2 linked regions of the Caenorhabditis elegans genome follow. The protein of the gene in region 1 interacts with the protein of each later gene in a pairwise test. Each region holds a gene or a part of one and is shown on either strand. Other genes may lie near its edges.

Region 1 (3,170 bases):
ATAGCAAACTGAAAAGCTTCCAAAATTTTACGCGGCCGTGGTGAAAACGTTTTCTGATAAAACTCCTAGAATTTCAACAAAAAAAACTATGCCTAGGATTATAAAATACATTTTCTGATTTTGGTTTTTATAAACTTAAAATCTTTGATCTTTGTTTTTCAATTTTAAGATAACATCCAAAATTTTGAAACGTTTCGTTTACAAATAAATTTTTCTTAAACTTTGTTCCAGGGCTTTTGTGGCAATTAGGTTCGTTTCTAACCATATGTGCCTGCCGTAGGCCTGCCTGCATGTCAAACTGTTTGTTAATCAATTTGCAAAAAATTAAAAATAGCCAGTAATGAATGATGTAGGCATCAGGCAAGTGCAGGTCCCGTTAAGGAACGCAGGCATAGTTGTGCCTACGTGGAAGACATAAAACCAGGTGTAAAAAAACAAATGAAGTTTTATAAAAAATTAAAATTAGCAATATTTTACGAACTGTAATTCGCAAAACAAATATCTCAGGGAGCTACATTTTTTTCAAATTTAACTGCACGGGTTTTCGTTTTTTCAGAAATTTCAGGTGCATTTCCCGACTACTTCAAAACCTCTAATTCCAGTTAAAATTCCAGCCATCACAAACAGGGTCCCAGTGACCGTCTATTTCCCACTGCTGCAATCACCTCAACCCCCTAATCATAAAATGTCACATTCCACTTGACATTTATCTGCGTCTCCATCTCGCCAATTATATTTCTCCTCCCACCACTCTCTATCTGTTTCAGAGATTGTTGTTGTGTATGTGGGGGAAGAGTGAGAGAGAGTGCAAGTGACGCAGGCCAAATGAGCACACAACAGGCGATAAGTAGGCGGGGCCAGAGGAAGCAGGTAATGCGCATAAAGGGGAAGAAGAAGAAGATGGTGTGTGTGCAGGTCAGGTTGCCTCAGCAGCAGGAGACCTACTCTTATCTCGCTCTTTGTCATCTTCTTCAGTAGCTCTCCCCGTTCTTGCGTAATTTCTTCCTTGACCTCTCTTCTTTTATCCTGATATTATACTATTACGTTACGTTTTTTAAAAACTACTTTCATCTTCAAATTCTATTAAATACAAATTATTCTATAATAATAAAATTAAACAATATTCTTTAAAAGTTTTGATGCTTCCCATTGATCTAGCAACCTCCTTGGTTTCATAATAATTCAAATAATTTTTAATTGCGTCATAACATTGCTCAGGGTTACGTCCAGATTCTTTTCATTATATTTTTTGAAGAGATTTTCTAGGCACCCTAGGTACTCACTAGAGTTCTCGAGCTCCTGGTTAAATTTACATTTGTTCATCTGTTGATCTGTGACAAAATTTCACGTGAATGCTGTTGAGCTCTTCTTGTTCCTAATAGTCTTTTTATGACTGTCATGATAGGTAGGTTCGCCTTCATGCCTGCCTGCCTGCCTATCTGCATTTCAGCATTTGGCCTATGATCATGTCTATATGCATGCCTCCTTCCCATCCACTTGCCTGCCTCATGCCTACCTTCTTGTCTACCCTCACAGTTCTTTAATTTCGGTCGGAAATGTTTAGAAATTCTTGCATTATTTGGCTGGATTTTTTCCGCTCGGAATTACACACTTCGTCTTGCCACATAATGTATAAATATTATCGATCGAAATAACATGAAATACCGATCAATAACACTGAATATACATTCTTTATTGCTATCTCCATTAGGCAATCTCTTGCAACATTTCTGAAACTAAATTTCTCAATTCAATTTCTTCATTGTTCTACGGAGTTATTTTCAACGTTTCAATCTTTTATCTTTCCTTTTCAAAATTTTCCTCAACTTCTGAATTATTCCAGATCCCCAGTCCATCAAATGGCTCATCGAATGCATATTGGCCAATTCACGAGACAATATCCAGCGGAGACAGCCTTCAAAGTCCAGTCAAACCCATGGAAGAACTCTCCAGAACCATTTCTTCCAATGAGCACCCAACAGCCAAAGTCTTGGGCAGATGTTGGAAAGGTTGCAGGACCCCCAAGAAACTACCATCATCCATATGAAGTCAAACCATTTGAGGCGATTGATGAGAAGAATGATGTGTTCAGTACTATGGGTCATTGGAATTCTGAGCAGAAGCAGAGTCGACAACAGCATCAGCAATACCAGCAGAACCAGTATCAAGCCCGTCAACATCAGTACTATCAGAACCCACCTCCATTCTACCAACCGGAGCAGCCTGTGCACTATCAATCTGCTCAGCAGGATGTCTTTGATAACATTGGCGAATGGGACAATAGCACTCCAATCCCATCGCAAATTTCTCCACTTCAACTGGATCTTACCTTGACCACTCCACTTCCAACCTTCCAACCATATCCATCAACTCGTTCATATTCCTTGGAGTCTCCAACCACATCGGTCACTTCAAATGAGGAGAAGAACAGCTGGAAGACGATCGAATTAATCCTCAACCAAAAGTCGAGCCGTTCGCCATCTATCACCGAACGTCTCAGCCCGGTGGACTTTGGACCATGGACCTCAAACTTGTAAATTCTGAACAATATCCCGATCTCCTTTCCTTTACTACTCGGTTACTATACACAAACGGCTTATTTTCATTCTCTCAAATTTTGATAGTCACATACCTAATTATGTTACGGCTTCTGAAACTGTTTCAGGTGATTTAATTCCCATTGCATTCCTCTTTCCAAAAGATATTTGCAACTTCTTATCCTTTTATCCTTTTAATCAGAAATACGGTTTCTCATTGTGATTCTTTAATCCTTATCGTGGCTTTTGCAATATCAAACCAAAATCTCTAAGTCTCCCTGTTACATGTCCCATCCGATCTTCTCGTATATGCTCCTAGTTATAATCCTTTTTTAATCACAAAACATTAATAATCCGTACTACGGTTGAAACTTTGCACTTCCCATAATCCATCGATTCCATTCAAAAATGCGGTCTCCGTCCGATTTCTTGCTTTTTCTTTTCTTCTCATGTTTGCATCTTCATGTGATTTCACCGATGTGTTCACCTACTTTTCTGGTTAATTTTTTAAAATGAATAACACCTCTTTAATAAATATCTGGTAATTTATAAAATGTTTTGCTATTTTTTGTAAATTATCATTACTATATATAAAGCGCTATTCCGTTTGTCTCTGACGTCACGGGTGACGTC
Region 2 (4,955 bases), on another chromosome or scaffold:
GTAAATGTCAGGTTGTATTTACTAAGGATCCAAAAGAAAACTTGGAATAATCTGAAGGTTTTGTCGGAACCTTTAAGTTAAAACTAACTTGATGATACTCATAAAAATTCTAATTCCTAAAATTCAACGGAAGACGCCATTCCTCCTCATATTTGGGCGATGTCGCTTCTTTCAGCCTCTTCAACGATCTCCTCGCGCCGTGGTTCTCAGCCAAGTGTAAATATTCTCAATTTTTAGTTCATAAAAATCTAGAAAAATCAAAAAGCTAACTTGAATACTTAAATGGATGTTCTCTTTTCTCTTTCTAATCTACTTTCATCATTCAATTTGATATGACATTCCCTAATGCATAGTGATATTTGAATGAACGAGACAATTAGAAGAACACCCAATTGATTCAATTTTATACTTTAAGGGTTTGAATTTCTTTCAAGACAACAAAAGAAACAAAATTAAAAAGGAGAGAATGAGAAAGTAGGGCTTGCTGATGTAAACTTTTCTTAAAATTAAAATTGAGCATTGCACCTGCCAACTGATACGCAAGAAGAAACTTATTCGAGCTAAAAAAGGCATTCGAGCAGAAAATGCATTTTATTCATCTCTGAATATCATATTAAATTGTTAAATTGTTTGATAGCGGAAACGAATATGAATCGGAAATGAGATGATTCCATACTCTTCGAACAATTTATTCACGTTATTTTTAGAGGAGGAAGAGGAGGAAGCTTGATAGTTCAAAGGGTATTTCAAAGAGGCATTCTGTCTGGAAGCTTTGAATTTTCAAAATCAATGACTAATCGATATTTCAATTTTTTAACCTCCTTGATTTACAACAATCGTTCTATCGGTGAACCAAATTCAGTTAACACAAACCATTGATTTTAAAGTTTCAAAGATTTTTGTTTTCCTTTAGTAGAGAAAAAATCAAAGAATTCAAGTATGTTGCCATCAATTTTCAGTAAAAAAGTGGCAAACAAAATTTGAAGAGCTAGGTGCATTTCTACAACAATTTTTAAGTCCTAATTTTCAAAGTTTAAAGTCTTATTCTTTGATTTTTATTTTGAATTTCATTGATAATGTTCAAAGTATTTCCAGTGAGTCATTTTGGCAGAAAGAAGAACATTCTCCGAGCATGAAGCCATGTTGATCAGATAAATGACGCGAGTCAAGTGCAAAAGATTATTGTGTTATACTTTTTTATTTGATACTGAAAATTGTAACCTTTTCAACTGAGAGATTGGTTAAATGTACCTGTGTTTCAGAAATATTTTAAACCTATGCTCGGAGAATGCTTGACATTTTTTTCAAAATAAGTTCTGATAAAGAGCTTTCGATAAGAATTCAACAAGCATCTGCTGGCGGATGTACATAGGAGAGGGAGAAAAAAGAATACTCATAAAAATACATTTAGAATTGCACAAAAAAGTTGAGTTTGGAAAAATTTTAATTCGAAAAATACCCAAACCACAGAACAGGTACTACTTTTGTAGCGAAACTATATGACTTCCATGGCAGTAAGTCCAATATTTTTAAAGAATAAATAATTGGCATAACTTTTAGAAAACAAGAGGCATTTAGACTGCGAAAGTGTATTGCACTTCAAAATTTGAAGCAATTTATTATCTTAATTTTTCTGAAATCGGACAAGAAAAGAAGAAGTGAAAGGAGGCAAAAAAGACGAAGCTGAGCCAATCGATGGCCAAATTTTTTAGAACGACAACGACTGAAGACGACTTAAAAATATGAGCATACGGATAAACAGGGAGATTAACTGGCATCCGCCAACAGATTCACCATGCAAAGGATTAACTGTCAACTATAACATTTCTTTTATTTTCTCCTTTTTATAGAAAATATATTTATTCACTATTTCATCCAGGTTCGTCCGTTGACGTACTACAGCTATGCAACCAGATTTATTCGAATAAAAAGAATATCGTGATCTTCACAATGAAGCTCGTATTTCTATTTCAAAAACTTGACTCATTTTTAAGTAGTGATGAGATGCAATAACATTAAAATTTAGGTGCTTACGTAATAACCGGGCCAATCGGAAACAAGACGAAATCTAAAACGAACGCATTTGCAAAGTCGAGCTACTGGCTACTAGTGAAGATTTTTAATTTACATCGAGTTGAAAAATAAAGATAAAATAATAAAAATAAAGATGTTTATGATCCATGTTCTTGATTAGGATACATATTATAATACTTCGGAAATGACATACATACATAGGTATGCATACAAGAAGCAATATCGCTTCATTAACAAACTATCCTAGATCATAATTTAAAGAAAAATGTTACACTTTCAGTAATTGGACTTTGTCTCAATTTTTCTCTATTTAATGTATCCTGGCATACAAAGCGTATTATAGAAAAACCGTTTCCGAAAAATTTTAGTTTTTCAGATATTTCGAAAACAATTCGATTTTTGCAAAAATATATTAACATTTTGACCATTTTCCTTTTTTTTCAGAGAAAACATTTCATGTTTTTTCTCATCAAAATGAACAACTTTTGGTAATTTTTTAGTTTTTTTGTTAATTTTCTAAAAAAATTTTTCTTTAACTATAGAAAAAAAATAAAGAATATTGAAATAATTTTAGCGGTTTTGGAAAAAAAAAACATTATCTGCATCGAAATTCGACATAAAAAATATTTGCAAATAAAATTTTCAACTTATTCTTGATAACTTAAAAGCTTAATTACATGGACAATAATATGCAATTGATTTATAATTAAATTGAAAGTTAAAAATAAAAGAATAAAACAGTTAGAACAAATTCTACCATCATGACTTTTACAGAAACTTTGACACGAAAAAACAAAAAACCACAATAAAACGCTGTTCTCTATTATTTCCGCTTTCATCGAACGAAGAAGAAAATCATCCGACAATCGGCAATTCTATGCACGCAAAACATAAAAAGAACTGACAGAGACATGTGCAAAGAGATTTTTTTTAGGGGGAGATTTCTATTGCAATGAGAGAGATAATATCTTGTTTTATAGGTTGCATTTTTACTTTTTTCGGTTTGGTAAGATACACTCAGAACTCACTTTTCTGTTGCATTACTTGGGCTCTTCTTTTGATACATAACGACTCCAAAATTGAGCATTTGATTCTGAAACTATAGAAAAAAAAAAAGATTGGCTAGAAACAAAAATAAAAAGTTAGATTGGAGTTTTTGGAGGGAAACGTTGAGTAGGCGAAACGCCGGAGCTTATCAATCACTATGGGCAGTTGAGTGGAGAGAGATTTGTGATGTGAATAAAATTATAAATAAATTGAAAGTATTTCTGATCCTCTCACTCTCTCTTTCTTTCCTGTTCTCAACATTCACCTCTACTAATCCCCTTTTTCCAGCTCATCACAAGGTTGCTCTTCGTTTTCTGATTTTGTGTGCTCATGGATTACTGTAACATTTCTAGATTTAGATAATGGTAAAGTGTATGGTGAATGGTGACATATCCGAAAACATGAAACTTGAAAATATTAATCTAGTTAAATACTTCTGCCGTTGACATTTGAGACCAGCTATTATAATAATCTCCTTTTTTCCACTCTATAAGCAACAATTTTCAATATTTTGACATCCTGTGAATTGCAAAAAATGAATATATTTTCTAAGGGGTTCGATAGTAGACATGAATTTTTCAGACGTGCTCGCCTGCCTGCTTGCCGCTGATGAAAGGTTTGATAGGAAGATGCTAAATTATGGCAGGAGTAGGAAGTTGTTCCTAACTGTCGAGCAGTGACTTTGCACTTTGTTGTCAGGAAAATTTGGTTTAACCGTTAATCCTTCAGATGAAGTTTGATTCCTGGAAGTTTTCTGAATTTGAGTTGTATCACTGTCTGTATGTTTAAATACATAAACTCCCGTGAAAAAAATTGAAAAAAAAAACAAATACGACGAGGCAAACTTATTTATTTCCCAATATAATTTTACTCAAAATCGTCGTAAAATTTTTGCAATGAAGGTGAGTTGGAGTGCGGGAGTTCGAGCCTGCCTGTACCTGGCTACGCGTCTACCTGAAAATAAAATAAGACATCAGAAATTCTAGAATAAGTTTCCTGCAATGGGTCGCCTGTAGTATGATTATTTAAAAAAAAGACAAATTCGGTATTCCTGGTATAGTAAAATGTAATTTTCAATTTTCAGAAATCTGAGAAAAAAGAATGTAAGAGTGAAACGACCGAAAAGACTGAAAGGACAACAGATGGCAGCAGTATTTCAAACTCAGTTATGATCAATTTTCCGGACGACTCAATGTATCAAAATGTAGAAAAAACTAAAAGCGTTGGAAGGTGAGCAACTTTATCCCAAATATCCCAAAACACTTTTTAATTTCCAGAGTAACTAATGAAATGATTGACAATTATTTATTGAGATACCAATTTTTCCATGGTTTTGTGCTCCAAGAGCTACAACTGATCTTGTTGAAGACGAACGGAGACTTTCTCCTGAGATTGTCGCATCAACCAGAGAAGAATGCGAAGAAGCCGACGACTCCGGACAAAAGTGCCACTGATCCGATTCCACTGACTCGTGTCATTCTTGTTCTGTCCGTCAATATCAGTTTGTTTTATTTTTTGTTTTTTTAACTTCCTAGCAGCTTGGAAACTTATTCAATGAACTTCTCATAAGTTGTCAAGCTGTTGCGGGGAACTTGCCCTCACTGTTCGTTGAAAAACTCTAGATTTTACAATTATGTTCCCTATTCAGCACAAAAAACCGGCACCACACGAAGTTTCTATGGGGATCTGGAGGATGTGAAGAAAGAGAACATGGATATGCATTTGTTTATTGAAGAAACCGCCGGCAAATGGACCTCGTTTTATATTGAGCGGCGATTCAAGTTTCCGACTATTGATGAGCTTATCAACTACTATAAGGTCAACCCGATTTGCTATCACAATGTATGTTTGAGTGCTTTTCTAGCCATTTCCAG

The links.
Region 2: the proteins of F28H1.1 (region 1) and kin-4 interact in a two-hybrid assay, tested with the Caenorhabditis elegans proteins (2 studies listed by BioGRID).

Annotation. Positions count from the first base shown.
Region 1 is NC_003279.8:3,993,866-3,997,035, forward strand, and holds F28H1.1 (uncharacterized protein), read left to right. Parts: upstream 1-1,859; coding exon 1,860-2,537; downstream 2,538-3,170.
Region 2 is NC_003282.8:11,423,908-11,428,862, reverse strand, and holds the start of kin-4 (non-specific serine/threonine protein kinase), read right to left. Parts: upstream 3,122-4,955; coding exon 3,063-3,121; intron 2,730-3,062; exon of another isoform or gene 2,709-2,729; intron 1-2,708. Other genes in the region: F22B3.8 (Tyrosine-protein kinase), read left to right, coding at 3,978-3,983, 4,166-4,311, 4,359-4,582, 4,730-4,923.